Linked DNA regions of Astyanax mexicanus. Each later gene encodes a partner of the first gene's protein in a complex. Links are inferred from orthologs where the notes say so. Each region holds a gene or a part of one and is shown in the gene's direction. Other genes may lie near its edges.

Evidence for each region.
Region 2: the proteins of orc4 (region 1) and orc5 are in contact, whole or in part, in a cryo-EM structure (PDB 7JPO), measured with the Homo sapiens proteins. The link is inferred for Astyanax mexicanus from reciprocal best matches to the Homo sapiens genes ORC4 and ORC5. Residues at the interface, in NP_001177808.1 of Homo sapiens: Ser18, Gln21, Arg22, Arg25, Glu26, Cys29, Arg30, Gln31, Arg69, Thr74, Asn100, Leu102, Leu103, Gln104, Ile105, Ile109, Glu113, Arg116, Asp162, Arg277, Met281, Met284, Leu285, Asn288, Met311, Asp312, Ser313, Lys314, Asn316, Ile317; in NP_002544.1 of Homo sapiens: Ile17, Ser20, Leu21, Phe22, Gly23, Glu24, His26, His27, Phe28, Ser29, Phe30, Pro31, Tyr36, Gly37, His38, Thr39, Thr98, Phe99, Asn100, Val103, Arg104, Arg131, Glu134, Asn136, Pro139, Gly140, Arg143, Gln145, Glu146, Leu147.
Region 3: the proteins of orc4 (region 1) and orc2 are in contact, whole or in part, in a cryo-EM structure (PDB 7JPP), measured with the Homo sapiens proteins. The link is inferred for Astyanax mexicanus from reciprocal best matches to the Homo sapiens genes ORC4 and ORC2. Residues at the interface, in NP_001177808.1 of Homo sapiens: Lys168, Asn169, Arg195, Glu200, Leu201, Lys204, Arg205; in NP_006181.1 of Homo sapiens: Asp501, Asp504, Tyr508, Ser512, Gln518, Glu522, Val554.

Annotation. Positions count from the first base shown.
Region 1 is NC_064412.1:33,930,174-33,940,584, forward strand, and holds the start of orc4 (origin recognition complex subunit 4), read left to right. Parts: upstream 1-6,184; 5' UTR 6,185-6,311; intron 6,312-7,883; 5' UTR 7,884-7,887; coding exon 7,888-7,944; intron 7,945-8,912; coding exon 8,913-8,989; intron 8,990-9,130; coding exon 9,131-9,221; intron 9,222-10,245; coding exon 10,246-10,321; intron 10,322-10,411. UniProt on the Homo sapiens protein: Component of the origin recognition complex (ORC) that binds origins of replication. DNA-binding is ATP-dependent. The specific DNA sequences that define origins of replication have not been identified yet.
Region 2 is NC_064409.1:24,351,691-24,362,279, forward strand, and holds the start of orc5 (origin recognition complex subunit 5), read left to right. Parts: upstream 1-6,783; 5' UTR 6,784-6,945; intron 6,946-8,443; 5' UTR 8,444-8,453; coding exon 8,454-8,567; intron 8,568-8,719; coding exon 8,720-8,812; intron 8,813-9,454; coding exon 9,455-9,640; intron 9,641-9,914; coding exon 9,915-9,989; intron 9,990-10,292; coding exon 10,293-10,404; intron 10,405-10,589. Other genes in the region: lhfpl3 (LHFPL tetraspan subfamily member 3 protein), read right to left, coding at 4,206-4,632. UniProt on the Homo sapiens protein: Component of the origin recognition complex (ORC) that binds origins of replication. DNA-binding is ATP-dependent. The specific DNA sequences that define origins of replication have not been identified yet.
Region 3 is NC_064423.1:30,252,134-30,262,035, reverse strand, and holds the start of orc2 (origin recognition complex subunit 2), read left to right. Parts: upstream 1-5,729; 5' UTR 5,730-5,928; intron 5,929-6,923; 5' UTR 6,924-6,930; coding exon 6,931-7,027; intron 7,028-7,348; coding exon 7,349-7,504; intron 7,505-7,678; coding exon 7,679-7,765; intron 7,766-7,941; coding exon 7,942-8,034; intron 8,035-8,615; coding exon 8,616-8,647; intron 8,648-8,931; coding exon 8,932-8,989; intron 8,990-9,111; coding exon 9,112-9,293; intron 9,294-9,488; coding exon 9,489-9,587; intron 9,588-9,866; coding exon 9,867-9,902. UniProt on the Homo sapiens protein: Component of the origin recognition complex (ORC) that binds origins of replication. DNA-binding is ATP-dependent. The specific DNA sequences that define origins of replication have not been identified yet.

The DNA of each region.
Region 1 (10,411 bases):
AACAACAAAGAAAGAGCAGTCAGTGTTGGCCAGTTGCTGTAGTAAGGCCAGCGTCGCTTGATCCTTTTCGCCATACAATAAATATGTCAGAAAGTAATGGTTTGAAATATCAGTCAAATCTAGGCATCCTTCATAAACGACACAACCAAACAGGCTACTTTACTGGCTTTTTATTGACCAACTTCTCTATAAACACAAGCAGCAGCAACAGGGCCTACAAACCAAACTTCATGACCTCACTGACAGCTAGAAGAATTAAAAAAGCTAACAAACACAGGAACAGTTTCATATACTGTAAAATAAAAAAATAGCCATTTTAGTTAGATCTGGGTTCAACAAGCATTCTCAGTATTGGTTTTATGAAGTATCTTCCTTTAAATTAGAAGTATAAATGTATTCTAATGAGTTCACGGAAGCCTAAAAGCAAATGTTTAGTGGTCTACACTGCATCACAGCACTTACATGTCTAAAATCTGGTTCAGACATATTAGATATTAATAGTGATTAAAGGTGATTTGCAAAAGTGCTTAGATGGAGTGTTGCCTCCTAATATAACCAAGACAGTGATTTTGGCACATAAAACGCCACAACCCAACAAGTTACTTTACTGGATGCTGTTGACTGGCTTCTCCTTCAATTACTAACAAGAGCAACAGGGTCTAGAAACCAAACTGCACTTCATGACCTTACTGACAGCTAGATAGAAGCAGAGGAACAGTTTGATATACTGTCAAATTAAAAATATGCATTTAGTCTAGACTGGCTTTCACCGTATTGGTTTTATGGAGTATCCTCTTCTAAATTGTGAGTATAAATGTATTCTGATGGGGTGATGGAAGCTTAAAAACAAACATTGGCTGGCCTAAACTACACCACAGCTATTAGCTAGCTCAAATTTGGTGACTTACAAACATTCTTTGATGGACTGTTACCTCTTAATCTAACCAATACTGTGATATTACACATAAAGGCGGAAGACTACTTTGTTGGCTGTTGTTGACTGACTTCTGAATGAAATACTAGCATCAGCAACAGTCTACAAACCAAACTGCACTTCATGACCTCACTGACAGCTAGAAGAAATCACAAGAACAGTTTGATATGCTGAGTATCTTCTTCTTCTAAATTGGGAGTATACATGTAATCTGATGTAGTAAGGGATGCCTAAATGCAAACACTGTCTTAACTGCTCCACAGCTCTTAAAGATAAAATCTGGTTCAGATATTAATAAAACGTGATTTAGAAACATGCTTAGGTGGAGAGTTACCTCCTAATCTAACCAAGACTGTTTTTGGCTGTTGTTGACTGACTTCTCCATTAAATAATAGCATTGGCAAAAAAGCACACAACCAAACTGCACTTCATGATCTCACTGACAGCTAGAAGAAATATTTTGATAATTTGATATACTGTCAAATCGAAAAATAATATTTAGATTAAACTGGCATTCTCAGAACTCGTTTAAAACAGTGTTTTCTACATTTGATCATACATGATTTCTAATTGGATTATGGAACCCTAAAAGCAAAGTCTGTGTGGCCACTGGTCTTGAATAAATGAATGGACTGGTCCAGATATTAAATCAAGTGATTCACAAATGTGCATAGATGAAGTGTTGTCTCCTAATCTAACCAAGACCAAGTATTTTTTACATAAAAGCCACAAACTAACAGGCTACTTTCTACCACATACTGACAGCAGCAACAGGGCCTACAAACCAAACTGCACTTCATCTATACACCTTGGTGACAGCTTTAATAGACTGTCAATTTAAAACTAGATAGTTTTTAGTATTCGTATTATTTTACAGAATATCTCCTTCTAAAATGGGAGTATACATACATGTACTCTGACAGGATTAAGGAAGCCATGGCTACGTACTGCATCACAGACAAAATCTGGTCCAGATATAGATAAAGTGATTGTTTGAGTGTTACCTTTTAATCTAACCTAGACAGCTAATATTGTTCTTTTTTAAAGACAGGATCACAGAAAAACAGTCCACTTTGATTAGCTGGCTAGGTGAAGTGATCTGGCAGGCTGTTGTTGACTGGCTTCAATAAATACTAGCTAGTGAACAAGCTGTATCGTTCCTAGCTAGCCAGCTTTCCCCCCTCATAAACCATACGCTGATACCTACAAAATATAACCTAGATAAGAGATAGCTATGTTATGTAGTTAGTGTAACCGTGTAATAGCTAGATGCCCTAAAACAGTCGCAGATACTCTGAGCTAAGAGTGGCTTGGGTATTCGCAGCTGACAGCAGGGCTTAAAATTGTAAAATTAATAATAATTAGGTTAAAAAAACAAACCCAATTCAGGCAATCAGCTAACCATAGTTAGCTGGCAGACTAGTATAAAGCCTATGAGCTTAGTTAGCTTCTTAGCTAGCTTTCAACTACTACACTGGCCCAGCTGCTATCTGGTTAGGTTTGCTAACGCTAAAGCTTTCAGGTTAGCTAGGCTGTGCTAGCTGAGCTAACATGACCATAGGGGAATAAATACAAGCACCAGAAAAAAAGTACACCAGGCTTCGCTTTCGGGGCCGTTTAACACGACGGAGGGTGAAACAGGGGTCTAGCTGGATGTGACAATAATGTGGGGAAAACAAGAAGAAAGTCAGCTGGATGTAGGTTGGAGAAAGAAGTCGACACCGACAGCAGCAGCAGCTACAACAAATAAGGCGAAGTGCTGCTGCTACGGCTACGGCTGCTGTGGATAGCTAACGCTAACTAGCTAGCTAGCCCAGCTTACTGGCTGGCTAACGTTCATTATGCTAGCCTAGGTAGCTATCTTAGCTAACTGCTAGCTGGGTGGCCTGACCCATGAGAGAGAGAGGAACGAAGAGAGAGAAGGAGAGAGAGAGAGAGACAGAAGGGGGAAATAATACATACACAGTTAAGCTACATATTGGGCAACATTAAATATAACAAAAATAACTTTAAACATATACGTACCTTGTTATTCCGCTTAACGCCGCGAAAACAGCCAAGTTAGTGTAAATACGTGTCTACGAGGCTGGTTCAAAGTATCCAGAGAAACGTCTCAAAAGCAGAGAGGCCAAGCGGAGGAGGAGGAGGCAGGGGGAGCGAGCTAACAGCTAACTAGCTAGCTAATGCTAGCGAAAGGGGGGTAGGTAGCTAACAGCTAGCCAGTGTAGTGAGAGCAGAAGAAACGGAGAGACGAGAGGAGAGATAGGGTAGAGAGAGAGATAGAGGAGAAGAGGAGGAGGAGGAGAGGCTCTCAGATCCCTCTCCCCGGATTTTCTATCTCCTAACAGCCGTCCAGCGCATCGCTGCCGTCGGTTTGAAGTCCCCGAGAGGTCGACGGCGATGGAAAAGTCCGTTTTTAAGGCTCGTCTCAAATCGACTCTGTCCCTTTAAAAAGAGAAATAAAAAAGCTGCCCCATCCGCTGCCTCTGCTCTGCTGCCTCTCTCCGGGCTGCCTGCTCGGGGTTAGAAGATGGAGCTCGGCCCCGCTGCGCCCCCATCAGGACGCTCAGACAGCTGCTACAGGACCACAATGCACCGGGCCCCTCTCTTCTCACACACAAACACACGCGCATACACACACGCACACAAACACGCATACGCACACACGCATACGCACACACGTATACACACCAGCAGAGCAGGAGGGCTGGAGGAGGTGGATGGGTGGATGGCTGGTGTGTGGAGCGTGGAGCAACAGGGACACGTTTTTTTTTCTGATTTGTGTATATTGTATACTATTCACAAGGGCTAGACAATATGGCCAAAATCTGTATCACATTATATGTGATATACTGTCTCAAGAATGATTGCAATAAATGATAATAGTGTTATTTTAGGAGCCTTTTTAATTTTTTTAAATGTTTTAATTACATTTTTATAATAATGTTAAATAATACCACCACCACCACCACCACCACCACCACCACCAACAACAACAACAACAACAACAACAACAACAACAACAACAACAACAACAACAACAACAACAACAACAACAATAATATTAATATTAATATTTATTATTATTTTTAATAATATTTATATTATTGTTATTATTACTATTAATAGCATAATAATGAAGTTACACCATTTAAAAGATCAGTGAACTTTTAATCAATAAGAATTTGAGAAAATCCTAAATAATGGGTGATATATATATATATATATATATATATATATATATATATATATATATAGTCACAGTAATTATTGCAATAAACAATAATAATTTTATTTTGACACTTTCATAATATAATAATAATAATAATAATAATCATCATAATAATAATAATAATAATAATAATAATTTAACACTTTCAAAATGTAACAATTTAGTAGCATAATAATTAAGTTACACCCTTTTTAAGACCAAATAACTTTTATTCATTAAGAATTTTGAGACATCATTAAAAAAAACTAAATAATGGATGATATATTGCCCCAGAATTATTACAATAAATGATAATGTTATTTTAAGATTTTAAGAGCCTTATTTTGACATATTAATTTGCTCTACTTCCTAAGAAAAAGCATAATGTACAATATCACAGGTCAGCAAAAATTACTGATGTTATTTTCATATATTATACAATAATCTGATAATGTAGTTATTGTGTTAGGCCGAAATCTGATATCAAAAGGGACTTTATGAATCCCCATGGCCTTAATGAAATAGCATAGACAGACAGAACTGAGAGCTGGGTCCATAAGCAAAATGTGGGCTTGTGTGCATTATGCCTTTCCGAATAGGCCTTTTTTTATTCATACAGAGATATTGTGGAGAAAAGCTGGTAATTTCCTTATGTTTTGTATTTATAATAATAATTCACAGAAGTACATTTAAAAAGTCTGCATTATATCTACCCATAATCTCAACAAATTGTTTATTTTGTACATTTATTTTATAAATGTTGTTTTTCAGATTTTTGTGAAAATATCTATCTAGCTAAATGTTTTTCCAATAAAGCTAATTACAGCGTGGATATAAAGATGTTATTTTTGTTTTTAACTATGATGTCTCATTTAACTATGATGTCTGGCTTTAACTATGATGTCTGCACAAATTAAAATTTGGTAATGTCCCTTGACATCCATTTTTTATAGTATTTCTTGCTGAATTAGATTTATTTATGGCGTCTCTAAATTGTCTTAGCAACAAAAAAGCTGTATCCACTATAAATTATTAAAGGAGTTTAATTTGTTATTTTATAATATTTTAAATATTTTGTTTAGTTTGATGTATGACTGTTTGTTATAATTTATCTTGCATGTCCTTGTTATATTTTGTTGTTTTTGGAAATTAAACCCTTAACGGGCCTTGCCGCCTTGGCCCATTTACAAGCTACAAGTGTAGGTGATACCAAATCCTTTTTTCTGCAATTAAATTAGTTATTTACATTCTGAAAACAGTGAGGGCTACACAGACTCCTACAGGAGACTTGGGCAAGTTGTCTGTTCAATCTCTACTCCACTTAATAATCTCAAATAAGTAACAGGAATCAACCCCAAATGCTTTGACATAAAACTAGTCAACCACACCAAACAAAAGGTTGAAGGACATGAAATGTTTAATTTGCTCAGGAAAACGCCAATTATATATATACTTGCAGATTTACACATTTTAAAAATATTTTTATTAAAATTACAACTAGGGTTTTCAGTAACGTTTTCATGAAACCTTTTTATGTACTCTTTAAATAGAAATCCTCAAAATAGAGGCGTGCAATATTAATCAGAGAATTAACAAAAATATTAAGAACATGTGGTTTCATCCATGATTTTCTGTTATTTACTATGGTTTTATTGACCCTAAGCAGATCATAGATCAGCACTCTAGCACTATACTGAAAAGTTTAAAAATGTGACCTGATTTTTTAATCCACCAGTCCTAAATATCAACATGTTGAGCTAGGGACATGTACACAGGTTAATTAATTATGCATTCCCAAAAATAGGAAAACATACATCCTTAAACAGGAATTTACAATATTTATTTGGAGATATAGTTAATAGTTAATAAGATTTATATTAATATAATATTATTCAGGAAAAAACAACAAACATTGAGACGGTGATATTTATAGTTAAACATGAAATATTAACATTAGTTATTATTAATAATATATATTGTTATTAAATACAGGTAATATTAGAAATATATTAATATCTAGTGTAACCCGGAAACCCATCTGTATTCTGCAGCTCCGGTTCCGCCTGCTGTTTGCAGAACTGGCGCGAAATCGGTTCTGTTGTGATCCGCGGAGATTTATTTTTCTCTATTTTAAGTCTTTTTACGGTTAAAGGCTGTCAGAAACAGGTAAGTAGAGCTTTAGGGTCGCTGTTATTCTCTTTTAGTAGTTCGGCGGTGAGTGCGAGGCTGCTGTCGAAGCTAAACATTTGCTTCACTGTTCGCTTTGTCGAACTCTCTGGTCCACCTTAAATGATCCAGCAGTTTCCTATGGGCGCACGTGTTGGCTCCAGAGTGTAACCAACGCAGCAGTTAAGGTGGAACAGAGAGTTCGACATTTCGAGAGATCGAAGAGCAAGCAGCTGTATTCTGCTTTTAAGTGGTGGGTAACCCAGGTCCAGAAAGATAAATCCATCCCAGGGTTATGTACTAACTGGCTGGGCGGCTCTGCTGCAGCTGAACTATACACAGAGCCTTCCAGGTAGTCCGTTTAAAACCCTGGGCCAGTTGTTCAAAAAATGTAATCCGGATCAAAATTATCCAGATTTGGTAATCACATTTTTTGCTATCCAGGATCAGGTGATCTGTCTTACTTTTAAGTCAGTTTTTCAAAGCAATATTGGATTGGATCAACCTGATCCAGAAACACAGTTTTCAGGATTACCTAATCCGGATTACCAGCTATGTAAAAAACAGATAGAAGAACCAACAGGGGTTGATGACTCCTTTTCTTGCAGTAACAAGATACTGCTTATTGCAAAACAATACGAGCAATTGAGCATTCTGCAGAGACGCTTTGCATGCCTTAACTATTTGCGAGTCGAACCACAGGGAGCATGCAACATAACACTTGCATGTATTGTCCTGCCCAATGTTGCTACCAGACGCAATGTCCCTCTCTGTGATGTTCATGATGCACCTGAGCCTGTTGAAGAACCAGAACAAACTCTGGTGTTCTTTTCAATTGTTCGAAATTATTTTTGACAGCTTCATATCTGATAAATGTTTCTTTGACATTAATATACAGTGATGAATGACAGTGACGTAGATGAAAAAATGAATATATTATTTTTGTTTGTTATTGAAATCTTTTGGGGGGTTTATTTAATGGGGTCAAGATTGTTTTTATTTTTACGTTACTATAGTAAAAGGCTTAATTGGTAGCCAATGTCTACTTTATTACTGTAACGGTTAAACAGGTCAAGTGCAAAATAGAAGTAAATGTATATACACTAAATTGTACAAATGTATTTTTTTTTTACTTTAAAACTTTGATTTTAAAGTTTTACCACATTTACTTCCTGAAATCCCCCTTGAAATCCTACCCCTTGTTGGGATCAGGGTAATCCTGTTTTTTTGGATCAAAGTTATCCAAATCCTACTGAAAAGTTTTGAACAACAGAAACTGAAGGTTTGATCCATTTACAAACTAGGATTGGATTACGTGATCTGATCCGATTTCAGAATGCTTCTTTCCCTTTTGAACAACCCGTTTTCCAGATTTGATCCAATCCGATAACCAAAATCCGATCAGATTTCCTCTGAACAACTGGCCCCCTGGGATGGATTTTTACTTTCTGGACTTGGGTTACCAACCTCTAATATCGACAGCAGTTTTACAGATAGTCGTATAAAATCTTATTTTACCAGGTTTATCGTCCCCTAACGTGCAGCTTTAACTTGTCTTTCTTTCTTTTCCAGAATCATGAGCAAGCGTAAGTCGAAAGACGCCAGTTTGCCTGTTGGTGAATGCGTATCTCAGGTTAGTCCAGCCAAGATGACTAGTTAAAAAATGTATTGTTTTTTTTTTTGCTTTAATATCAGTGTTTTGTCGAGTTGTGCTACCTTGTCAAACGGTGCTACTAGTAGTATTTATTTTTTGAAAAGGTAAAAATACAGCAGAAGCCTATGTAGGATATGTGGATAGGCTAAATCACTGTATCAGAAAAAGTTAAGGTCATACGTGACTAGACACCATATATCTTTAAAAGAGTTTTATAGTTAATAAAAAAATAACTTTAGGTTGCTGTTTTGTAACTGCTATTTACAGATAGAAGAAAATTAATCATAATAAAACATATTTAGGGATGTCCCCAGGGAACGAGTAGATCACATAATTTTCTAAGGATCAGAATCAGGTGGAAAAGATCCAGATCACTGATGTATCATATTTCTATGAGCAGATGTACCTTTAAGGCAGCGTGAGTGGCAGTGACCTGAAATCTCTTAATTTAAATATTTTATTTACATTGAAATACTCATTATTTAACAAATAAGGAAATCTGGAAGGCCAAATGTTTACATATTCATGCACTGTTTAATATTTGAACTGTTTGGAACTATCCTGAGCTTGTTAATGGTATAAAAATAGAGATTTACTTGCATGGACAAAGCTATGCCCCATATTGCTAGCATTGTAAGCCTGTTGGGAGCATCAGTTAACAGCGCTAACTGATGGGGATGAATGAAGGTGGGCTATTCAACAAACGTTTGTACGCATTACCATGTTTCACTACAACCCAGGTCCATTTCAAAGCGATTGTCTCCTGTAATGCATAGTGCAGTGATTTTTATAAATTGATGTGCATTATCCAATTATACAGGATTACAGAACTTATAGATTTCTACCTGATATTCAATTAGATGCTGCATAAGTGTTTTAAATGTATCTTAACATGTCCTATGCTGTTTGTTTCAAGTGACACATACATGGCTTTTTACTTATTACAGGTCCAAAGAATAATGAGGGAGCGATTTTGTCACCAGAAGCTTCCTGACAAACCTTATGGATTGGACTCGCAGTACAAGTGGGTTGTTTATGTGTTAAATTTAATAAATAAAATTGTGTTTGTAAGCTGTCATTAACAGAAGATGTGAGTGTGATCTTTTCTTTGTTTGCGTGTTGTATAAGTAAGAAGTTTTTGTGTGTGTCTTTTGGGGGTATTTAGGCACCTACTGGAGCTGTTGAGAAGAACAGCAGTTCATGGTGAAAGTAACTCCGTTCTCATCGTGGGCCCACGTGGAGCTGGTAAAACCATGGTACAATTCAAATTCAGGCTTTTCACTTCATCTTGGTTCATATAGGTGGCTGCTTCTGTTACTGTACAAACACAGCATGGGCACTATAATGGGGTAAAAGAAAATATTGGTGTTTTAAAATATTGTCGTGTTTTTGTAATTCTATATTGATTCTTTAAGTGCTCAATAAATTGCATGCAAATTTTGGTGGCAGGCACTAGTCATATTGTGTATAGTGCTTCCTACTATTCTGATTGCATAACAAGTAAACATTTCTTTAACTTATTGTTTTGTGTTTGGCCAAAAACAATTAGTTACTCTGATTTTGCTATTTATAGGTATATGTTTGAGTAAAATGAACATTGTTGTTTTATTCTATAAATTATTGTAACATTTTTCTGAAATTCCGAATACAAATATTGTCAATTAGAGCATTTATTTGCAGAAAATGAGAAATGGTTGAAATAAGAAAAAGGCTGCAGAGCGTTTAGATCTCAAATAATGCAAAGAAAACAAGTTTATATTTACAAAGCTTAAGAGTTCAGAAATCAATATTTGGTGGAATAACCCTGGTTTTTAATCACAGTTTTCATGCATCTTGGCATGTTCTCCACCTGTCTTACTCACTGCTTTTGGATAACTTTATGACGCTCCTTGTGCAAAACTTCAAGCAGTTTAGCTTGATGGCTTGTGATCAATCTTCCTCTTGATTATATTATAGAGGTTTTAAAATTGGTAAAATCAGAAACTCATCATTTTTAAGTGGTCATCATTCTAAAGTTATTTTTTCTCCAGAGCTGTATATTGTGAGGCTCACCACAATTGATAAACAACATTGTGGAGGGAAAAATCTTTTGGTAAACTTTGTAGTTAGCTCACATCACTCCTGTGGAAACTCACTTTGGATGTGTGATGATGTTGCACCCATCTCAATTCTGATATATTGAATTGCATATTGATCAGGAGAATTGTTTTATTTTCTCATCCAGTTTTTGTTTAGTGTAGTAATGGGTTTCTGAGTGTTTCTCTTTGTGTGTCTGTGTAGCTTCTGCGCTGTGCTCTGAGAGAGCTGCTGGAACTGCAGGAGGTGAAGAAGAATGTTCTCCAGGTTCACCTGAGTGGTGAGTGTTGGTGCACGCACATAACTGCTCCATGGTTTTGAGTTATATAACGTGTATATATATATATATATATATATATATATATATATA
Region 2 (10,589 bases), on another chromosome or scaffold:
GTGTGGAGTGCTGGTGCTGCTTAGCCAGAGTGGGTTCTTCCTCTCTGCAAGTGCTTTCATCTCGAGAGAGATAAAAGACTAATACACACACACACACACACACACACACACATGCACACAGCCTATGCTCATTAAACAGGATTGTGTTATAATGGAGGGGAAGCACACAGCAGTATCTGCTCTGATTTTCTGCTCTAGCCTTAGCACTGATCGCTAAACCGCTCAATAATTACAGTGTATCGGTTTGACTCATATGCTTTATGTTTTTACATACCATAGGTTTCAATTTAGATTAATTTTAAGTCAAACTAAAAAAAAACAATGTACATTTTCTATATACAGTACCAGTCAAACGTTTTGTCACCCTCTAATTCAATGTTTTTTTCCTACATTGTAAATTAATACTGGAGTCACCACAACTGATGCTCTCAAACACATTAAGAGGACAAAAAATTCAAGTAATTAACTCTTAACAAATTCAGCACAGCTGTTACTAAAAGCTATTCCAGATTATTCTACCTCATAAAGCTGAATAAGAAAATTTTGCAAAGCTATCATCTAAACAAGAGGTTCCTACTTTAAAGAATCTGAATAAAAAACATGTTCTGGTTTGTTTATCACTTTTTTGTTTACTAAATAATTTAATATATTTGTCTTTCTAGTTTGGATGACTTTTGTATTCATCTGCAATTCAGAACATTTTAAAATAAAAAAATAAAAAAACACTGCGTTTGTCCAAACCCAAACTTAACTGGTAGTGTACATTGCATTAGAGCTGTATGATATGACAATATTTTATCATATTGCAATTAATTAGTTATTGTGACAAATAATTTGCTTCTCTAGACATATTGAGCAATCTAAGCATATTGTAAATCTGGCAGGCATGCTTGAAATTATGTCTAAATTTTCTGATGAATAAGCCAATAAAAATGATCAAAAATGGAATTAAATACTTTAGCACAGAAGGTTTTTTTAAGATTGGCCAAGATCAGAATTGGGCTGGTCTGATTCAAAATAAAATGGAACATAAGATGGAACTGTATAGTTGGTACTGATGAATGTGGAAGAGCATAGATTTGTATATGTATGGATGAAGGCAGATGGGTATAGGAATGGTTCTAAATATGGTAAGAATCGCTATTGATATGGTTATAGATGTTATGGTAAGGGTTTATAAAGATGGATTTGGTTAAGATGGTTATATATATTATGGTAAGGATTGGTAAGGATGGATATGGGTGGGGTTATAGATGTTATGGTAAGGTGGGTATGTGTATGGTTATACATGTTATGGTAAGGATTGGTAAGGATTAGGGGTGTCACGATCTCGATATTTTATCGAAATCGAATCGAAATGAGGTCACGATCTCGAGTATCGAAGTCAAAAAGAGGATCGACGATCCCTCCCGCGCGCGCTACGCAAATGGCGCGGCACCAACACAGCGCATCCTATTCATTTAAATAGAGATAGCCACTGCATGAGCGCAGTCGGCGGGAGTGTGATCACTGTTTTTATCTGTCCAACGGGGGAGGGGAGGCGGGGGTTGGGCGCGCAGGTTTTGTATCTGTATCTAACGGAGGGGTGGGTGCGCGCAGGTGAGAGCGTGTGAACTCGCTGAAATGCGTGTGTCAGTGTGACTTGAGAACACTGACTATAGATCACAGTGAGGTGGATTAAAAATCTTAAACTTATAATTGACTACACCTGTTGCTTTCCATTGAATTAAAAAAACATCTTTCTCTCAGATAAAGTAAACACAAGCGTGTTTCTGACTAAAATAAAAGCTTTTCAGGAGAGATATAAGTTATGTGTAAATATTTATAAGACAATACCCACATCACTTATCTAACCAGCCTGTACTGATTTCTGCCCCCCAATAATGCTTTCAATAACCTCTTGTAACCCCTGGGAGCCAGGGGTTACACTCTAATAGCCTTTAATAGTCTTCAGTAGCCTTTAAAAGACTTACCTGGCGGCCGTGGTGTGTCCACTAAACTCCGTAGTTATAAACATCCTGAGGTTAGCAGCGCGCTAACTGACCTGTTTATAATGTAATCCGAGCAGTGACTCCGTGTCGGCTGTTCTAACCTGCTGCTGTTAGCTGCTTGGGCTGAAAGATGAACTGTAGTGAGCTGTATTATCCGGTTAGTGGGGTTAAAACCTTTATTTGTTTACAGAAACAGTAAAAACGGACTGGCTGAGCCCTGTAGCCCGTGGCTGGGCTGTACTGAAGTAGTGACTGAGTGAAGAGAGCGGGGCTTGTGCTGCTGCTGCTAGTGGTTGGATGAAGAACTGCAGCTTCATGTAATGAGCAGTTTCACCAGCCATCCACACACAGCTCTGATAAACTGCTTGTTTTAATAGTGCACACTGTTGCTACCAAAAAAAGTCACTAGATGGCATTACCATATATATCTTAATAAATAATAATAATAATATTTATAATAATAATAATAATAATAATAATAATAATAATAATAATAATAAATATATTATTTAAATTTTATGAGGCATAAAATAATAACAAGAAAAAAAAAACAAGAAAATCGAGAATCGAATCGAATCGTGACCCTCAAATCGAAAATGAAATCGAATCGAGGATTTAGAGAATCGTGACACCCCTAGTAAGGATGGATAAGAATATGGTTATATATGTTATGGTAAGGATTGGTGTGGATGGGTATGAATTTGGTTATGTAAGAATGGTTATGGATAGTACACCAGTCAACTCTAATTCAGTTCAGCAATGTATTTGATTAATGTGATTAAAATAGGTTGATATCTCTGATATTTTCTCTAGGGAATAAAAAGGCCAGATTGGTTCATTATATATATATATTAACTTTATATTAGTATTTGGCCAACAGAACAAAGGGCTAAAAATGTGGCCACAGAGTGTGAGGTTCAGATTAATATAAGGCTAATAAAAATGTCCAGCAGTGAATTATATTGTAAAAAAAATCTGAATGACCATAAAAATGTATAAATGGTGTGTCTCTAATGAAAATATGGTTATAATCCGCTCTGGAAATAATGAGCTAAGCTACATCAGATTTACTAAAGAATTCAGAAGCAGAAACCACACAAAATCTGACTTTTACATATGGGTGCGCATAGCTGAAATTATGGATGGTTATGAATGGGCATGGGTGAGTGGGTATAAAAAAGATGGTCATAGATTGAAATGGATGGGAATGGGAGTCTATAGCAATGGGTGTATATGGATAATAATGGTTGGGGCTGCAGGTGAATATGAATAGATAGGTGTGGTTGGGGAAGAAGGGGTATACTGTAGTGTTGATGGATGTAGATGAATATTCATGGAAATGGATGGATGGTATGTATGTACTGTTAAATATGAATTTATGGGTATGGGTAAATGTTCCAGTATGTTACTGATTGGTATGGATGGGTATTGATGGGTTGATGATAATGTATGAATATATTTATGGGTATGGGTAATTTTGGATATGAATGGGTATGCAAACATTTAGAAATGAGTGGGTATGGTATAGATGGGTGTGGATTGGTAGGAATATGGATGAGTATGAGATGGGTATGGGTATACTTTAGCTCTAACGGATGAACTAAGGCTGCAAAATGCTTAAGTAAAAAATGCAATTATGACTGTTATTCTTCATAAAGTGAATCCACATAAACCTACTGGGTCCCATACAAACTAAATAAGTAAACTTTAGACACAAGACCTTAATGTGGGGATAGCCTAACTATCGCTCTAATCTTTTTTATATCTATATCATTTTATTTCTAATTGCATCCCAGTTTTCTCCCCAATTGGGAGGACCAACATCCCCAACTTCTCATTAGAACTACTCCTATAAGTAATGCTACAAACACTAGGAGGGTGAAGACTAGTGCATGCCTCATCCAATATGTGTGAAGTCAGTCTCCGCCTCTTTTCCAACTGCCACCAATCAATGTGCAGCATCACAGCGCACGTGAAGGAAAGTGCCAGATACCCAGCTCTGATACATTAGCTGACAGATGCCTGTACCAACCAGCATCACAATGGGAGTGATAAGGGGAGAGAGCGCCACCTGTTGTACCCACCCAGAGAGAGCATGGCCAAGGATTTGAACCAGCAATCCCCATGGTGGATTATGACAGACTACCTTTGTCCCATATTGCTTGAATCTTAACAACCGCACAACCCCATCACCCACTAAACGTTGCTGCTCACCTGCCGCCAGCTGCATCCACCCGCAGATCTTGTAGACGGTGGCAGTGCTGCAGAAGAAGAAGAGGGCGAAGCAGGCGATGCAGGTGAGCACCAGGACCATAGAGGTGCAGATGAAGAAGGAAGCAGCCTTGAAGGCACCCGAAGGGATGGAGCTGAAGTTGGTGAAGCTGCCGTAGCACTTGAGGTCTCGTGACAGTCCGTTTCCGATGCAGTAGTGGAAGAGGCCGAAGTAGCCGGCCTGGGGGGTGTCCACCCCGTCGCCAATCCAGTAGGGCTGGATGAAGCAGACCACGTTGACGATGGCGAAGAGAATGGTGAAGATGGCCCAGAGAACTCCAATGGCTCGGGAGTTCCTCACGTAGTTGGTCTGGTAGATTTTAGCGGCTTCTGAAGCGGGGAGCATGGCTGCTGGTGTTCCAGGGACCATCGCCTGGATGCAGACCTCGTGGAGCTGGAGCTGCACAGCACCAGAAGCTGGGGTAGACTTGGTGGAATCGTGTCGTGGAAGCTTGTGGTATAATCAGGTGTCACTAGTATGATTCGGTGCATTAACTGATTTTGATTCGGGTTGTTTTCTTTCTTCTTTTTGCTTATCGGTTGCAAATAAATCAAGGGGTTGGTGTTTGTTTTCTCATTCACACCATCATGCCTCAAACATCTCATATCATGTCCAGAAATCCTGTAATGAAGCATAGTCTATAAATATAAAATGCATTCTTTTACTATATGTATAAACAGATATAAGCAGATAAATGCATACATACAGGCACAATTATACAAATTTCCACGTCCATACCTGCATCCTTGTTGCTCTACAGATTCTTCAACAGCAAAGCACCACCGCTCCCACAGCAGCCTGCTCTCATCTCAGCCAAAAATGACAGATGAATCCCTGAAAACAGCATTAAAATGCAGAGTGGTCAGCCATGAGTGCCCCATTCATTATTCACGTGGTGAAAAATAGCATCTTCCAGGCTGCAGCAATGAAGAAGATGATGAGCTTCTGCAGCCTCTGGAGCCCATCTCTGGTCAGAAACACACACCGTCTCTCTCTCTCCCTCTGTCTATCTCTCTAACTCGCTCTACCTCTGTCTGTATATATACACCTCTATGTTTCTCTGTCTCTCTCTCTCTCTCTCTCTCTAAAATGTGTCCTGGACTGAAGCACTGAAGCACGCGCGCCGAGATGACAGGGAGAGCATACAGCACACACACACATACACACACGCACACACTCAGCAGCAGCAGCAGTTGCAGCTCAACAGCGCTCACAGCAGGTCAGAACTGCACGCTCGGGCGCGTTCCAATACGCCCCCCGGTGCCCTAAGTAGTGCGCTTAAAATTATGGTCGCGTTCCATTGCGAAACACCGCGCACTGATTTAGCGAACACAAAGCACGGTGGGGCAATTTTTAAATCAGTTATTGTATTAGTGGTCCGACACGTAAAAATAGTGGAAAATAAGCGAAAATATAATTATTTTTAAATAATATTGTGGCATGTACCAGAAAGAAGGGAGGTTCGTTTATTTATAGGGTGTACTGTTCGCTTACAGCACATAAAGTGCTCAGAGAGTGACACTAACTTCAGTGTAACAGTGTAAAAACCCGGCGGAGTGACTGAAACTGAAGTAAACTAGCTTCATGGGAGGTAGCCTACTGTAACATTTAAACATCCATTACAGGTATATACCACAAGTCTAGCTCATAGAGTGAGCCAGCGGTGCACCATGGGATAAAAAGGAATGTTCCCCACTGCCCCTTCTAACTGCGCCCTTCACACTTACACACACTGCTTCCGTTACACCTTGAAACAACATATATAAAATATGTCTTTCAGAGCAAAGTTAATGTCTGTATTCCAATGTGTGCATTTATATTAAATAACAGACCAAATCATTTTTGATTATACACGTTTCATAATTGATTAAATGTTATTTGTATTTCCAAACCAGTAAGCGTTCCTTTACAATCCTTGTTTTGTCTAAATTGGGTCTTTAAAAGTCAAATAAGTTGTTGACATTCTTATGAGCAAAAAATACATGTCGTTCTGGGACAAAGAAGTCCCTCAAAAAAAGTTTATTTCTTCTGATTTCCCACAATTTTACCGTAATTAACCTTTTTAAACGAGTGCAGGTTCACTTGTGGGTTTTTTAAAGTAAATAAAACAAGAAAATAGAGCGCAGGATGGCTGCACAGCTAACATCCTTTATTGTATCCCAGGTGGTTGCTAAGGTGTGGTTAAGTGGTTCTTATGATGTTGCTAGGTGGATGCTGTAATGTTCCTAGGGATTTGTTAAAAAATTGCAAGGTGGTTGCTGTGGTATTAGAGGTGGCCAATTTGGTGTTGCTAAGTGGTTGAATAGGTGTTGCTAAGGTGCTGTTTTACACCCAAAATCTTCTTAATACTCGGGTAAAGTAGTTTAAATTGAACCATTTAATCATATACATATTTTAATTTTGAAATTCAATTATAGTTTTTGCTAATTTAAAAAATCGAAAACTACAGTAGAATTAAAATGACCTTACCTAGGCCAACTCAAACACGTGTTCACAATAAATACATTGTTATTTAGAAATATACAGAAACAAGCGATTGAAACTCGCTACTACAAATCTCCGCGTCTAAAAACTACAACTCCCAGCTTGCGGATGTGACGTCACCTTCGCGGGAAAGTGAAGCAGCGTGTGGATCCTGTGTGAATGAGTGTGTGTTGGGGTTTCTGGCTGAGTGTTTATAAAGTAAGTAATCTGTTTTTTTTCTTTGATCTGTAGAAAGGCTATAAGTGTAGCAGAACTTTATTAAACTATATAACTTAAATAACCGCGCTGTTCATACCAGCACAACATACAACAACACGAGCTTCTATCCCATAATATTACTAAATATACACACACATATATTTATGTTACTGATTTTAGATGGAGATAGGTGGTGTTGTAGTGTATAAACAGAACGTATATAAGTTATATCAATTACTTTATTTAACAGAAAATATACGTGTTTTAAATGATTCTCTTCTTAAACTGTCATCCTATTGCTGAAACCTCCAGCCCCAGACCGGTGTTCTGTCGAGTTGTGCTACCTTGACAAACCGTGCTACCCTAGTGTATATTTAACTGTAAAAATACAAAAGAAACACCGTATTAGAACATATTACCAGTAAAGTCCCAGTAGATGTAGCTAGCTAATATATGGATAGCATAAATCACTGTGTTATGGTAACGTTATCCCAATAAGAGGTAAATACAAACTGCTTTTGTATTTTTTAAAATTAATAATTCAAGTATTTATTCTTATTAATTTCCACTTACACGTTTGTGCTGAACAGTGAGTTCAGGTTGTTTAATGCACAAAAAAAAAAAAAAAAAAAAAAAAATATATATATATATATATATATATATATATATATATATATATATATATAAAAAGTCGTATTTTCTTTGGTTTCCTTCACTTTTGTTGTTTGTACATAATACAAAAGTCATCCAAACTATAAGGAAAAGCTAACGGAATTATATAGTGAACAAATAAAGTGTTAAGAAACAGAATAGATTATTTAAAGTAGCTGTGCCTTTTCAAGAGTTAATAACAATTTCTTGCCTCTAAATGTGTTTGAGAGCATCAGTTGTAAAGTTGTGAAGAGGTAGAAATGGTATACAGTAAATAGCTGTATTTGAGTAATGTTCTAATCCATATTATAGCAAGAACTACTCAACTAAGTAAAAAATGACTTTAGGAAATAAAAGTAAGTTGATTTGAACAATTTTAAGAACTTTAAAAGTATCCTCAAGTGCAGTCACAAAGACCATTAAAGCATTATGATGAAACTGACTCTTATCAGGGTTGTCTCAGAGAAGCAAGACCAAGAGTTAGCTCTGTTGCACACAGGATAAGGTTATCAGAGTTACCATCCCCAGATACCTAAATGCGTCACAGAGTATTGTGGGTTGTTTAACATTTTCCATTTATTGTAAGTTTCCTTATGTGTTCCTTTGTAGTCTATATGACCCTAGATGTTGTTTTTTATAAATGTTCGTTAAATATGCTGTATATACACTGTAGGAAACCCTTTAATGCGTTGTTTTCTGTTGAAGACACATGAAATTTTAGCCAGTATCATACGTCAATTTTAGCCAGTATCATCAGCTCTGGCTTATCAGAAAAGCAGTCTAGAACTAGGGCTGTGTGTAAGGATAAGTTTTGCATGTTGATTGATGTTGACTCTGTCTCTCTCAGATTGAGGAGGATGCTGGCTGGACTGCAGTGTCCCGGCTATCCTGAAGCCAAACTAAGCTCTGTGAGCGAACGGCTTCCCTGTAGAGAGGGACAGGCAGGAACGCTGCTGGCTCTAATGGGGGAGGTTTGTCTTATCTGTTTTATAGTTTCCCATCTTTTATGATATCATCCTTTCTCTTTCATAGATCAGACATTCATTCAGTGTTTCTCAAACCTGTTTATGTTTCAGTGTCATGAAAACATCTTTGAATTTGTCCATTTTTTCCCTATGTACAGCCGGAGCAGTACTGCTTCCCCTCCATCTTTATCTATGGCCACCGAGCCACGGGGAAGAGCCATGTGATCCTCACCCTGCTGAAAGAACTGGAGGTACTGTGCAGTGGGGGTGGTTGATATAGCTGTTTAAAAAATGTTTAAGAAAAAGTTATTTTGTGGTATTTATGTGATGATTATATTCTAGGGAAAACAACAAAACACGGAAATAAAAAAATATAAATTTCAAGAATATATTAATAAACATTTTTTGTATAAATATAACGGTTTCATACCTTCAGTAAAAACAAAAAATATATAGAAATGTTTCTCTATTTTGTAAACAGTAATAAACTAACAATAGTGTAACAAAATAAAAATGTAGCAAAAATAATATAACCACAAAACTAGACAAGATATTTAGTGCATATATAAACTGCAAACATACAGTTAAGAGTAAATTCAGTAAATAGCAAAACAAATACAAAACGGATCTGCGTTTTAAAAAATAGAGGATTAAATAAAAGGATTTTTTTTATTGTGTCAATCTTTTTTGCAATATCATTGCCTGTGATACGATACAGCATGCCCCTACTATGTAAACATGAATTAATATTATATACATACATTCTAAGACTTTGTATTTGGAAAGTGCAAAAAAATCCCCCAAAATGTTTCCCCTGCCAAAAATATTTTTTCTTTAACTGATTTTTTCTTTAAATGTTAAATTACTGTATGTGTGTAATTGTGTGTGTATAGGTTCCTCATGCAGCGGTGAGCTGTGTGGAGTGTGTATCTGCAGGGCTGCTGTTTGAGCAGGTTCTGTTAGCGATGTTTGGTTCCGAGTCGGCCACTCTGCTCCCTCGCTCTCCCTCTCTCTCAGACTTCGTTCGGATCTACAGGCAGTTCTGCGCTCAGAAACCGGCCCAGCAGACCCGGTACATTGTGAGTAAATCAGACCTACACACACTATATAATACACACTGTACTCCAGAAAAAACACTTTTAACGTGAATTGACCTCTTGTAGGTCAGTAATGATTACATGCAGGTTTATCAGTACTGTAGAAAGTACAATTTTGGGACGTGAAACCTCTTTTTTTAAACCCCTTAAAATCAACACACTTTTTTTGTTCATAACCTAATTACTAAACATGTTTCTGTAATGAGTTATAATAATCTAATAAAGGATTATTGTGTGCCGTGTGATGTTCTGAAAGGTTCTGGAGAGAGCGGAGCTGCTCAGAGATATGGAAGCCAACCTGCTGCCTGGACTGCTACGTCTACAGGAACTGGTACCGGCCCACAACCACTATATTTTTAAGTTTTTCACAGACGATTTAAATGCAAATATAATATGATAAATACACTGCCTGACTAACATAAGTCGTCACCAAAAAAAAAAATCACCACGTCTTTAGCTTTGATTGCTTCATGTCATCATCACTGTGGCATTGTTTCGATAAGCTTCTGCCATGTCACAAGATTTCAATCCAGGGTTGCATTAATTTTAATCAATATTACAGTATTTAAAGATTGTTTCCAGACTTGCTTAGATTGCTCTTTTGCAGTACGTTGACCTGTGTTGTGTCCGACAGGTGGATGATAATGTGACCGTCATCCTGCTGAGTGAGATCGTGTGGGATAAGTTTCGGCCGAACACTGGCTGCTTCGAGCCTCTGCTGCTACACTTCCCTGATTATACTAAAGGTACAGCAGTATTTTATATTATCATCAAATTATTTTCATCTCCTTTGTCATTTATAATATAAATCTGCTACTTAGCTGGGCAGTAAGTGTAACATACCTATTATTAGTGTTTTTCTGTCACTGTTCTTTAAAACATCTCCAAGTCTCCTCATGGAGTCTAATATTATTGGGGTGCTGGTTGGGGG
Region 3 (9,902 bases), on another chromosome or scaffold:
CTCCAACCTATACTGGAGCTGGAGCAGGAGAAGGCATACTTCCATTCAGGTCTTTCCCTGCCATTAATGGAAGATTTGGACTGTTGCCGCAACACATTAAACCCAATACATCACCACCACCACCACAATGCTGTAGAACAGCCCGAAAATGGTCATAGTTTTAAAGGGTTAGGTGGAGAGCATTTAAAACGAAGCATTTTGGAAAAATTTTATCTGCATTTTATACCAGCCTCTATTTCCCTAGAATGTTTTTATTTGATTTTTTTTACCGACATTGAAAGCTACAGACCAAGGAGCTAAGAGGACTTTCAAGGAGGTCCTTAAAATCTCAACCCTCAAATTATATTGGTTTGTATTATTTTTAAAAACAGAAGAGAGTAATTTAGTGTGGGCTTTTATTTCCTTTTGTGTACTTGTGCTTGTATATTTAAGGTAGTAGCAAAAGTTCTGTATAACTGTATGGAAATGTATTCTTCCCTAGCATTACCTAAAGCCATTCTGATCTGATGTGTAAAAAAAAGAAAAAAGAAAAAAAAGTGAAAAGATGAAACACATAAAACCTGTCCCAGCCCACCCCCAGCCCCGCCTCCTCTTTACCCAATCCAATTTCCCTTAATTTTATGAACCTGTGTACAATTGATTGATTTAAAAGAAAGGGCACAGTCACACCGGATTGATCTGTCCATTCTTGGTCTGAGTAAGGCCAGCCAAAGCAGCAACCTTATCACATGGGTCGTTATGTGTTAAAATGGGGATTTCAAGGCCTGTACGAGCGAATTAGATAGCATCACTCCACTCTGTGTATTAGCCGATGTGATTTATTGATCCATTGTCTCCGTCTTTGGGTCATTCTGTCACATACAGGCTGGTTATTTCGTTAAGTGCATGTTGGCCCAGGCACGTCCTGAACTTGTATGGACCTTATTTCATTCGCCATATTGCGAGGGATAGTCAATCTTGTCATTAAATTCATTGGACATTTTTGTATTTTTTTTTTTCCTTAATTTTTCTAAATTGATACCCTGCCCAGTTTTAATTCATTTCCATGCAAATTGTGAGATTTCTGCCAGCCCTGCACTTGTAATTGAAACTAAATGGTGATCTGTCCCCCTTCTAACCCCGTAGACACCCCCTCTTTGATATATCTATTTTTTTTCTTAGTTTCTGCCCTTGACTAAATTAATGTATGTACCAATAAAATATGAATTTTCACTTTAAAAGAGAGCGGCCTGTTTGCTGTCTTTATTATTGTGCTCAAAACAATATCAGTCAGTAATATGCTATTCATGCATATTACTAGCATTCACTAACATGACAAAAGTCAGAGGACAATAACTAGTATTATGTCCTGTTACTTCTTACAGAAAAAGACTGACTTTATGCTTGTGGAGCTCTTCTGCCAAAGTCACTTCACGAGTCGCATTGACTGGTCTAGCCAGATGCTGCTGGACTGTGCTGTCCACTGCTATCCCATGACTTTTGTCTGTAATTCTAAGGATCCACTGAAAGCGTGGCATAAAACTGGCCATTCATAATACAGCTAAAGGTGATATTTGGCAAGCTTTCAGTCTGTAGGAGCTTTTACATGCCACCTTCAATTGCTGGAGCTGCAGTGCTCTGCTGCTGCCCTCTAGTGGATTGTCAAGCTGTTTGAGGAACCCTGCTTTACAAAACCTTTCTCGTAAGTGGGCTGATGTGACAGAACCTTACTAAGGTTTATAAAACATAAATGCCCAATAGATGGTTTATATGGTTAAAATGGTTTACATTTGTTGCATTGAGTAGTTTTTTTTAAACATGATTCTTTGGAACAGTGCTTCTCAAATCTTGTCATCAGAAACTCCTAGATGGTCCACATTTTTAAATGTCTCTGCATTTTGCAGTTTGCATAGAAGGATAAATTAATCTGGGGGCATTTGTTTGAGAACCCCAGCTTTAGAGAGTCATTTTTGTTAGTGTGCAACGTAAATGTGTTAAGAACCTTATTTAGGTTTAAAGAATATACACTGAAATGCCACATCATTTTATCTAGTGTTGTGTGCCATGACTTTTGTCATGTCCCATAAAGCTAAAAACATGGCAGTGACCTGTGGGATAAGTGTGTGGGACTTTCCTCATTGAATGTGTATGAAATTTCTGAGTCTTCTATTTAAGTGAAGGACAATTCTAACCAGACATCACCAGTTACGATCATTGCCTCTCACTGCCCTGTCCACTGTGGGTGGTAATTTCCTCTATGATTCACCAGTGCTCACAGGACACCGAGGCTAGAGGAATGATAAATGCCCATGCAGCTTTGGGAAATGGGATTTTCCATCCATCTGGCACTACCATCATGCCCCCCTCAAACTTAATAAATGTCTCCTTGCCATGAGCACACTGACCAGTGTGTAATCTCACTTAGAGAACCTGAGGTGATTTTTCTATGCCATTGCTAAGAAATATAGTCATTAAGGCATTTTGACCTTAATTAATTCTGCTGTATTAGTATCCTCATGTTTTATCTCCATGAGTCTTTGATTTGACTGGCGATGAGTTTGTAGCTGTTTCAAATGCAGCTCAGTGCAGCACAGTGTTGAAATGAGCTCATGGGGTGCTCTGCGCTCTGCTGGTGGCGGCATGTATCTGGAAACGCTCCAGACAGAGTCTGAAAGAGCCATCTGCTCTCAGCCGGTGCGTAACTGGACCCTCTCGAAAAACAGATGATTCCTTACTGTTCATAAGGAGTGCCTGGAGCAAACAGTATGGGCTGCGGCTGGACCTATGAGCAGAGGGTCATAGGTTCAATTCTCGCTGGAGAGTTACAGCCGTTGGTGGCATAAAAACAAAGCCCACATTCAGAGAGCCCACAATGGTGTTTCTTATTCAATGATCCTTTCCCAGAACGTTATGGCTTGAAAGGAAGGTGTTGCATTCCCAATAGATATATAGACAGATGCCAAATCCAGCATTTATCAGCCAAAAAATCCATTTTAAGAGATCTTTTTTTGGTTTAGGATCAAACCAAAAGCAACAGCAAAGCAGGCCAGGAGCTGAACAAACAGAAAATAAAGAAATTAAGCACAACAAAGGAAAACTAAACTGAAGGCTTAAGTAGAACTGATGAGAAAATGTATTTTGGTTCCAGCTCCTGCAATTTTAGACTATCTGAAAGCCTTAAGATTTGGATAATTTGAAAATATTATGTAAGAAATATTAATTCCTTAACACAGTCAATTTATACAATGTTATTTTAACCTAAATCCACAATAACAAGGACACACAGTGTCATTAATACAAAGCACCAAAAGTACTAACAGTGCCTGCTTTTGGACAAGCTTGCTAAACATGAATGAAATTTGATCAATCTTATTTACATGACTGTTTTTTGTTAATCTCTTAGTAAAAACTGTTCTATTTAAAGCAGGATGTCAGAATCTCTGAATTCCATCTATTCTTTGACATCAACTCTCATCATCAGTGGTAAAGGCAGTAGTATTATAAAATTGATTAGCACTTCTATCTATTTGGGTCTCAGTAAATCATTCTAACACAAAGTTCTATCTGTCTTCTATCTGTGGTTCTATCTACCGCAAAATCTGTTGGATTGGTGTGAATATTTGAGCTGCATGGAATGGATTGGACACCATTAGGAACCTCTACAATTCCAAGCCAAGATATATTACCCATATCTTCCCACTGAATTGTATTTGCAATTTGTAATTGCAATCTGACTTGCAGTCTTTTTGGTGCAACCCTTTTTCCAATTGTTACTTTAAAAAAAATTATTTATGAAGATTTTGTGGCGTACATGAGAAGGAATCCAAACAGGCAGCATTACTTGGCCTTAAGGAAGCTCTTTATTAACAACTTACTGCTTGCAAACAGCAATCAGAGTAGGTTAGAAAAACCTTTCCTAAAATTACCAGAGCTTGGTGTAAACATTACAATAGGGTGTAACAGTCAACAACTAAACACTCTTTTCACATTCTGAACAGTAATTACAGTTATACCCACAAGTCTAACTCATAGTTTGAGCCAGCAGTGCACAATGGGATAGGAAGCACTGTGCCCCGCTGCCCCTACTGCCTGTGCTCTCCAGGCTGCATTTACTCAGTTTCTAGCCACGGTCTGCACAATATCTAAAGCTTTGAAGAGAGTATTCTATACCAGCTCCTTTAGTCACCATATAAATGCACAGTCTCAGACAGCAACACTACTTCCTTTCAAGCAGTCAAGGCTGTGATAAAGTTTCCTTTTCTCGCCGCTTTGCTTTTTAAAGTGCTTTCATTCTGGAACGGCTGAATTTGATCTTTCGGTTCTGGTCAGTGACATTTGCAGACAAAGCTCCATGTGTTGGTCTGATTGAAAATGTTCAGGCCATTATCGCATGACATTTTACGGAGGACTGAGGAGGAGTGCGGCACAGGCCTGAGTGGCAAATCTCGGCTCTGCTCTGTATTGATAAGCCATGGAGCAGCCAGACAGTTAGATTCCTATAATTTCCACAGTGTAGGCCAAACTTACAGACCCCTATCCTGTTACAGATTCAAAAATTGAGCACAGTGGCTGCTTAGAAAATTGTCCTTGCAGTGTGGTAGAGATGGATGGGCTGCTGAACATTGATACTTCCAATCCTATCCCATCTTTCTGAGATTCATCCTGCATTTAAAGTGTTTTCTGTATACAGAAAACTGAATTTCTGTACTTGTGAAAAAACTGTTTACTGATATGACAACTAGAGTCGTTGGTCTGTTAGCATGGACATTTTACCCAGACATATTTGAAATTTGCTTTTGCAAGTGAAATATTGTTTCAGTAGAACTGTATCAATTATCAAATACTTTTATATATTAGTAAAGCAAATAATTTCACAATAAAATTTAATTCTGGTATGATTTCATAGATCTTAAAAAAATAAAGTGATAGCATCTCAAAACAATGAGAGAATCTACATAATTTCTTAGTATCTCAAAAAAGAAGAAAGTATCCCAAAATAAGGACATACTATCTTAAAATAGTGACTTAGTATCTCAAAATAACCACATAGTATTTCATAAAAATAAACCCAATAATATCTCTAAATAATGAGATAGTATCTCAAAACAATGACAAATATTTTAAGATGATACAAAGTATAAATGTGCACTGCATAGTATAATAGTGCACTACATATTATAAAAGTGCACTGCATAGAGTAATAGTGCACTGCCTAGTGTACTAGTGCATTACATAGTGTAAAAGTGAACCATACAGTGCATTAGTGCACTACATAGTATACTAGTGAACTACATAGTTTCATAGATAGTGAAGTATCCCAAAAATATGTACCCCAAAAATAATGAGATATTATTATATGCTACAAGATTATTTTGAGATACTGCGTCATTATTATGAGATACTATGTCATTATTTTAAGATATATAAAAGCATACCAGAATTAAGTTTTATTGTGAAATGATTTGCCATTTTAATATATTATAGTACTTGATAATTGATAAAGTTCTACTAATATATATATATATATATATATGCTTTCGGTAGGCTAAAAGCACAATTTCGGATACATAGTATAAAAGTCCCCTCATAGTCTAATAGTGCACTACATAGTATAATAGTGCACTACATAGTGTAAAAGTGCACTAAGTAGTGTAGTAGTGCACAGGATAGAGGACAGCTGGTGAATGGGACTGAATGAGACACAGCCCTGGGCTGCAGGCTGTGGCGTCACGGCACTTCCGCCCACGTGGTGTGAATATTTTTGTGGTGGCGCGGAATCGGAGCGGGTTAAGGAGTCGCTGCGGGGCTGCGGGGCTGTAAAATGTGGTGCAGTTTAATGTAAAGCGCTTTTTCTGAGGGAATATTAATACAGACTGTTCTCAGCGGAGAAACAGCGCGCGGAGGGGTCTTAAACCCGCTGCTTCTGGAGGAAGTTCTGCTGTTTTCGGGGTGAGTTTGGCCGCAGTGCAGCCGGTTCTGTAGCAGCAGTTCTGTTTCTGCTCCACTAAACTCCTGCAGAAGAGAGTGGAGATTTAGGTTTAGAGCTGCACAGACCTGATGGACTTGAGTCAAATTTAATGTACTCTTGGTAAAGTGTTATTTGAATGTGAATAAAACTTATAAAACTTATATTGCTACTTGTACAAAACTTATAAAAGTTATTTATTGTGAATGTTCTTAAGTACTGGACAATTAAAACTTTTAGCTGAACCTGTTCCTGAAAATAATATTGCTCAAAGTACTTTTTACTTGATGAGTCAGTTTTTTTGTACTTTTACTGAAACAGAACTAAAACTCACACTCTTTTCATTTATTCAGGTTATTTATTTAAAGGGAACTCCAGTGTAAAATGGTTTGTGTTGTAGTGAAACATGATGACAAGTTCACACTTTTGTCAAAGTGCCGACCTCCAATCTCCCCCAGCATTCCAAAATACAGGGCTTTTATCCAGTGCTCCCAACAGTCTCACAATGGTAGCGATAAGGGCATAGAATTGCTAATGGAAAGAAAAAACTATTTTTACTCCATTTAAAAGCTCAAAGTAGCCCACACATATCATTGGTAGAATTCCAAGTGTCCTGACATTTAAAACAAGGCTCTGAGAATTTTGAAAGTGCACAGGTAGTTTATATAAAAAGACAGTGTTTATGCACACAGTACCTTTTAGCTAGTTCTTGAAATTAAGTCATAAGTCGACTGAAGAGCACGAACGAATAGGTAGAATAGGTAAACAGATTGCAAAATAAATTCTGTGTAAATGAATGAATGAATATTAAAGAGAGATTTTCAGCAACAACTGGAATTCATGCATTTCCATGCATCTACCTACTTGTTTTTGCTTGTCAGTTGACTTTGAGCTTGTTATTGGTTTAAAAAATAATAATTTCTTGTGTATCTCATCCACCAAAAAACATTTTGACTTTTTTTCTCTCTCTCTCTCTCAGGTCCAAAATGAGTCCACAGAAACGCACTGCAGGTCCTGGAGTTTTGGAAGTCCAATTCGTAGGAGATGAAGATGTGCTAGACCACATTGTCGAGAAACATGAAGGTGCTGAGATTGACACACATCTCTGTTTTCTGGGTGTTAAATCCCATTCTATTTCTTAATGGACATTGTCGTGTGTACTGGGTATACATCATAAAAGGCATTACTGCCCACAGTGGACAGCACAGTGCATTGGGTGGTAATGATCGTGACCAGTTGTCCAATTGTTCTTGAGAATAAATAAGCAACTCTATTAGAAAAATGTAAATGGATTGATAATGATGCACTACATTTCTGGAGATTCAAGTATCTGGTCCTGTTGTGTATATGGCTTGAAACGTTTTGGTTCAGGTTTTTACTCTCTCTATTCTAATTGTATTTTAGGGTCTAGAGCACTCAGAAGTTCTGCACAAACTCTAGTGAGCCTGAAGAGTCTCAGAAAGAAAACGACAGACTCTGCAGAAGGGGAGGAAGAGGAAGAAGAGGAGGGAGTTTTTAACAAGCAAAACTATGTGGAGTCGCTTGGTTATGGAGCAGAAGGTAGAATTTTTTGTCACACAAACAAAAATTGCCAAGAGAACACTGAACAATTCTCAATATTATTAAAGAACTTTAAACTGATTGAAAAAGTCATTTTTTGGCTGTAATATCGGTGATGTTTCCATACTGTGTTTAAACATTGTTGCTGTTTTGTTTGTGTATCCTGTTACACAGCTGGAGATGAGAATGGGTCGGCCACAGCAGGAGCCTCAGTGTTCACCTTCCAGACCATCAAACGCTCCAATAAAATGGCTCAGATGGGTGAGTTAATAAAAGATTTTGATTTTGTGTCAGATTTTTTTTATTTATTTTTTTTTTACATATTTTAAAGTAAATTAAGCTAGAGTTAAATTATTAGTCTGATGATTTTAAGATGCTTGTAAATGTTGTACACTATACCTCGCTATACATTTCTCTTTTTATCTCTCTCAATTTAGCTTCAGAGTGGGCACGCACTCCTGGCAAAAGTGTCACATTTCGTACCCCTGGGAGTCCAGAGGAGGCAGCCAGCCCAACCCGGGCAAGCCAGAGTTAGTAATCATATCATTATTTATCTATCTGTTTACAGTACCAGTCAGACGTTTGGACAGAGCTCTTCTCATTTAGTGTTTTTATATGCTTTTTGTTTTTACATTGTAAAGGTAATATTAAAGACAATATGAAAGCTAAGGTCACATTCAGAATTATACTGAAAACAAAAAGCAGAATATGTTTAATAATGAAAATTCTTTAAAGTAGCACATTTAGCTTTTGGACAGATCTGCACACTCTTGATATTTTAATCTTTTTTTAATCTTGGTATTTTAAGCTTTTTTTTCTTCACACTGTGAAGCTCAGCTCATTCCAAATCACCTTAAATCACCATCTCAGTTGAACAGGTCAGGGGATTGTGGAGGACAAACACTTTTTCTTTTTTTAAATTTTTTTTTTATTACGTAATCCCATATGTGTTTTCATGTCTTTAATATTAATCAACAATGTACAAAATAAATAAATAATGAAATACATTGAATAAGAAAGTGTGGTACATGTCTATACATTCATTCAAACAATCCATCCATCATAGGCTTATAATGTATAATAATCCTACTGTTTATTCTTCCCACTACAGAAGTTGCCAGTCAAAACAAAACTCCTCAAAAGGTAAATTGGAACCTTCATATATGAGAATGACTGTGTTTGTGAGTTTCTTCTGAAATCAAGAGTAATAAACAGTTTAAACTTTTAAGCTTTTTACAAGATTTTAAAACATTGTTTAAGCATTTGATTGGTTGTATTGAGTAAAAAAGAGTGTGAGAAGTGAGGTCAGGATGTTGAACGGCTGTTCATCTCACCTCATCCCCAGCTCGTCTCAATAGCACTGGATAGATCACTTTTATTCTAAAGAATTTAATTTCACTCTTTTTATTTTTATTTTTCCTCTCTAGGGAAAGAAAGTACAGTTTGTCTCCACGACTCCTCACAGACTGAGAAAGAGAATATCAGGTTTGTTATTAAAGTTCAAATTACTATTAGTCAAATTTCTTTTTTCTTTTAATATTTTTATAAATAATATTTGTTGTTGTTGATGTTTTTGGTTTATATATATTTTATTTATGATTATTCAGCTCCCAACCTAAAGTCAGACAGTGACAGTGATTTCTCCCCCTCGAACTCGGAGGATGAAGAGGATGAAGAGGAAGAAAAGGGGGAAAAAGCTGAAGCTCAGCCCAAAACCCCCAGCAAGTCATCTGGAGCTGCTGCTGCTCTTTACAAGACCCCTGCGAAGAAGAGCAAGAAAGCACCAGAGGTGGGATTACATTTTTTAAAGGAATATATAACTAGTTTAGCTGTAACTAGTTTATAATGTCACATTTTAGCTGTTCTAAGTCATCACATTTGAGTGTTAAGTCTAGTTTCCTTGTAGGATATGTTTCAGCAATACTGATAAGGTATGTATGAATATGGATGAGCCTTTTACGTATGCCAATCTCCCTCTTTTCAGCCCAACCTGGTGGAGGAATATTTTGAAGCCCACAGTAGCTCCAAGGTTCTGACATCAGACCGGACTCTTCAGAAGCTGCAGACTCCTAAACTAGATCGGGTCAGTCCTCGCCCTGTGTCTGTATTTATTACAGCTAGGGGTCTTTGTTTAATAGTCAGTCAGTTAGATAAGTGAAATCATGAAGTGAACCTAAACTCAAGCTCCAGATGAAGCTTTTCTAATGTTCATTTGAATTTAATATTTGAAACATTGGTCTAACATCATCCAGATAACCACAAATGTCTACTCTATAAAATAAAACCCTGTTTGAAGCTGTCTTTAGGGTTTAGGCAGAATAATAAATGAATCATTACAGATGTTTTTCATGGTGTGTTGCAGGAAACTCTGCTCAGATTGTTGGATGGAAAGCCCTCC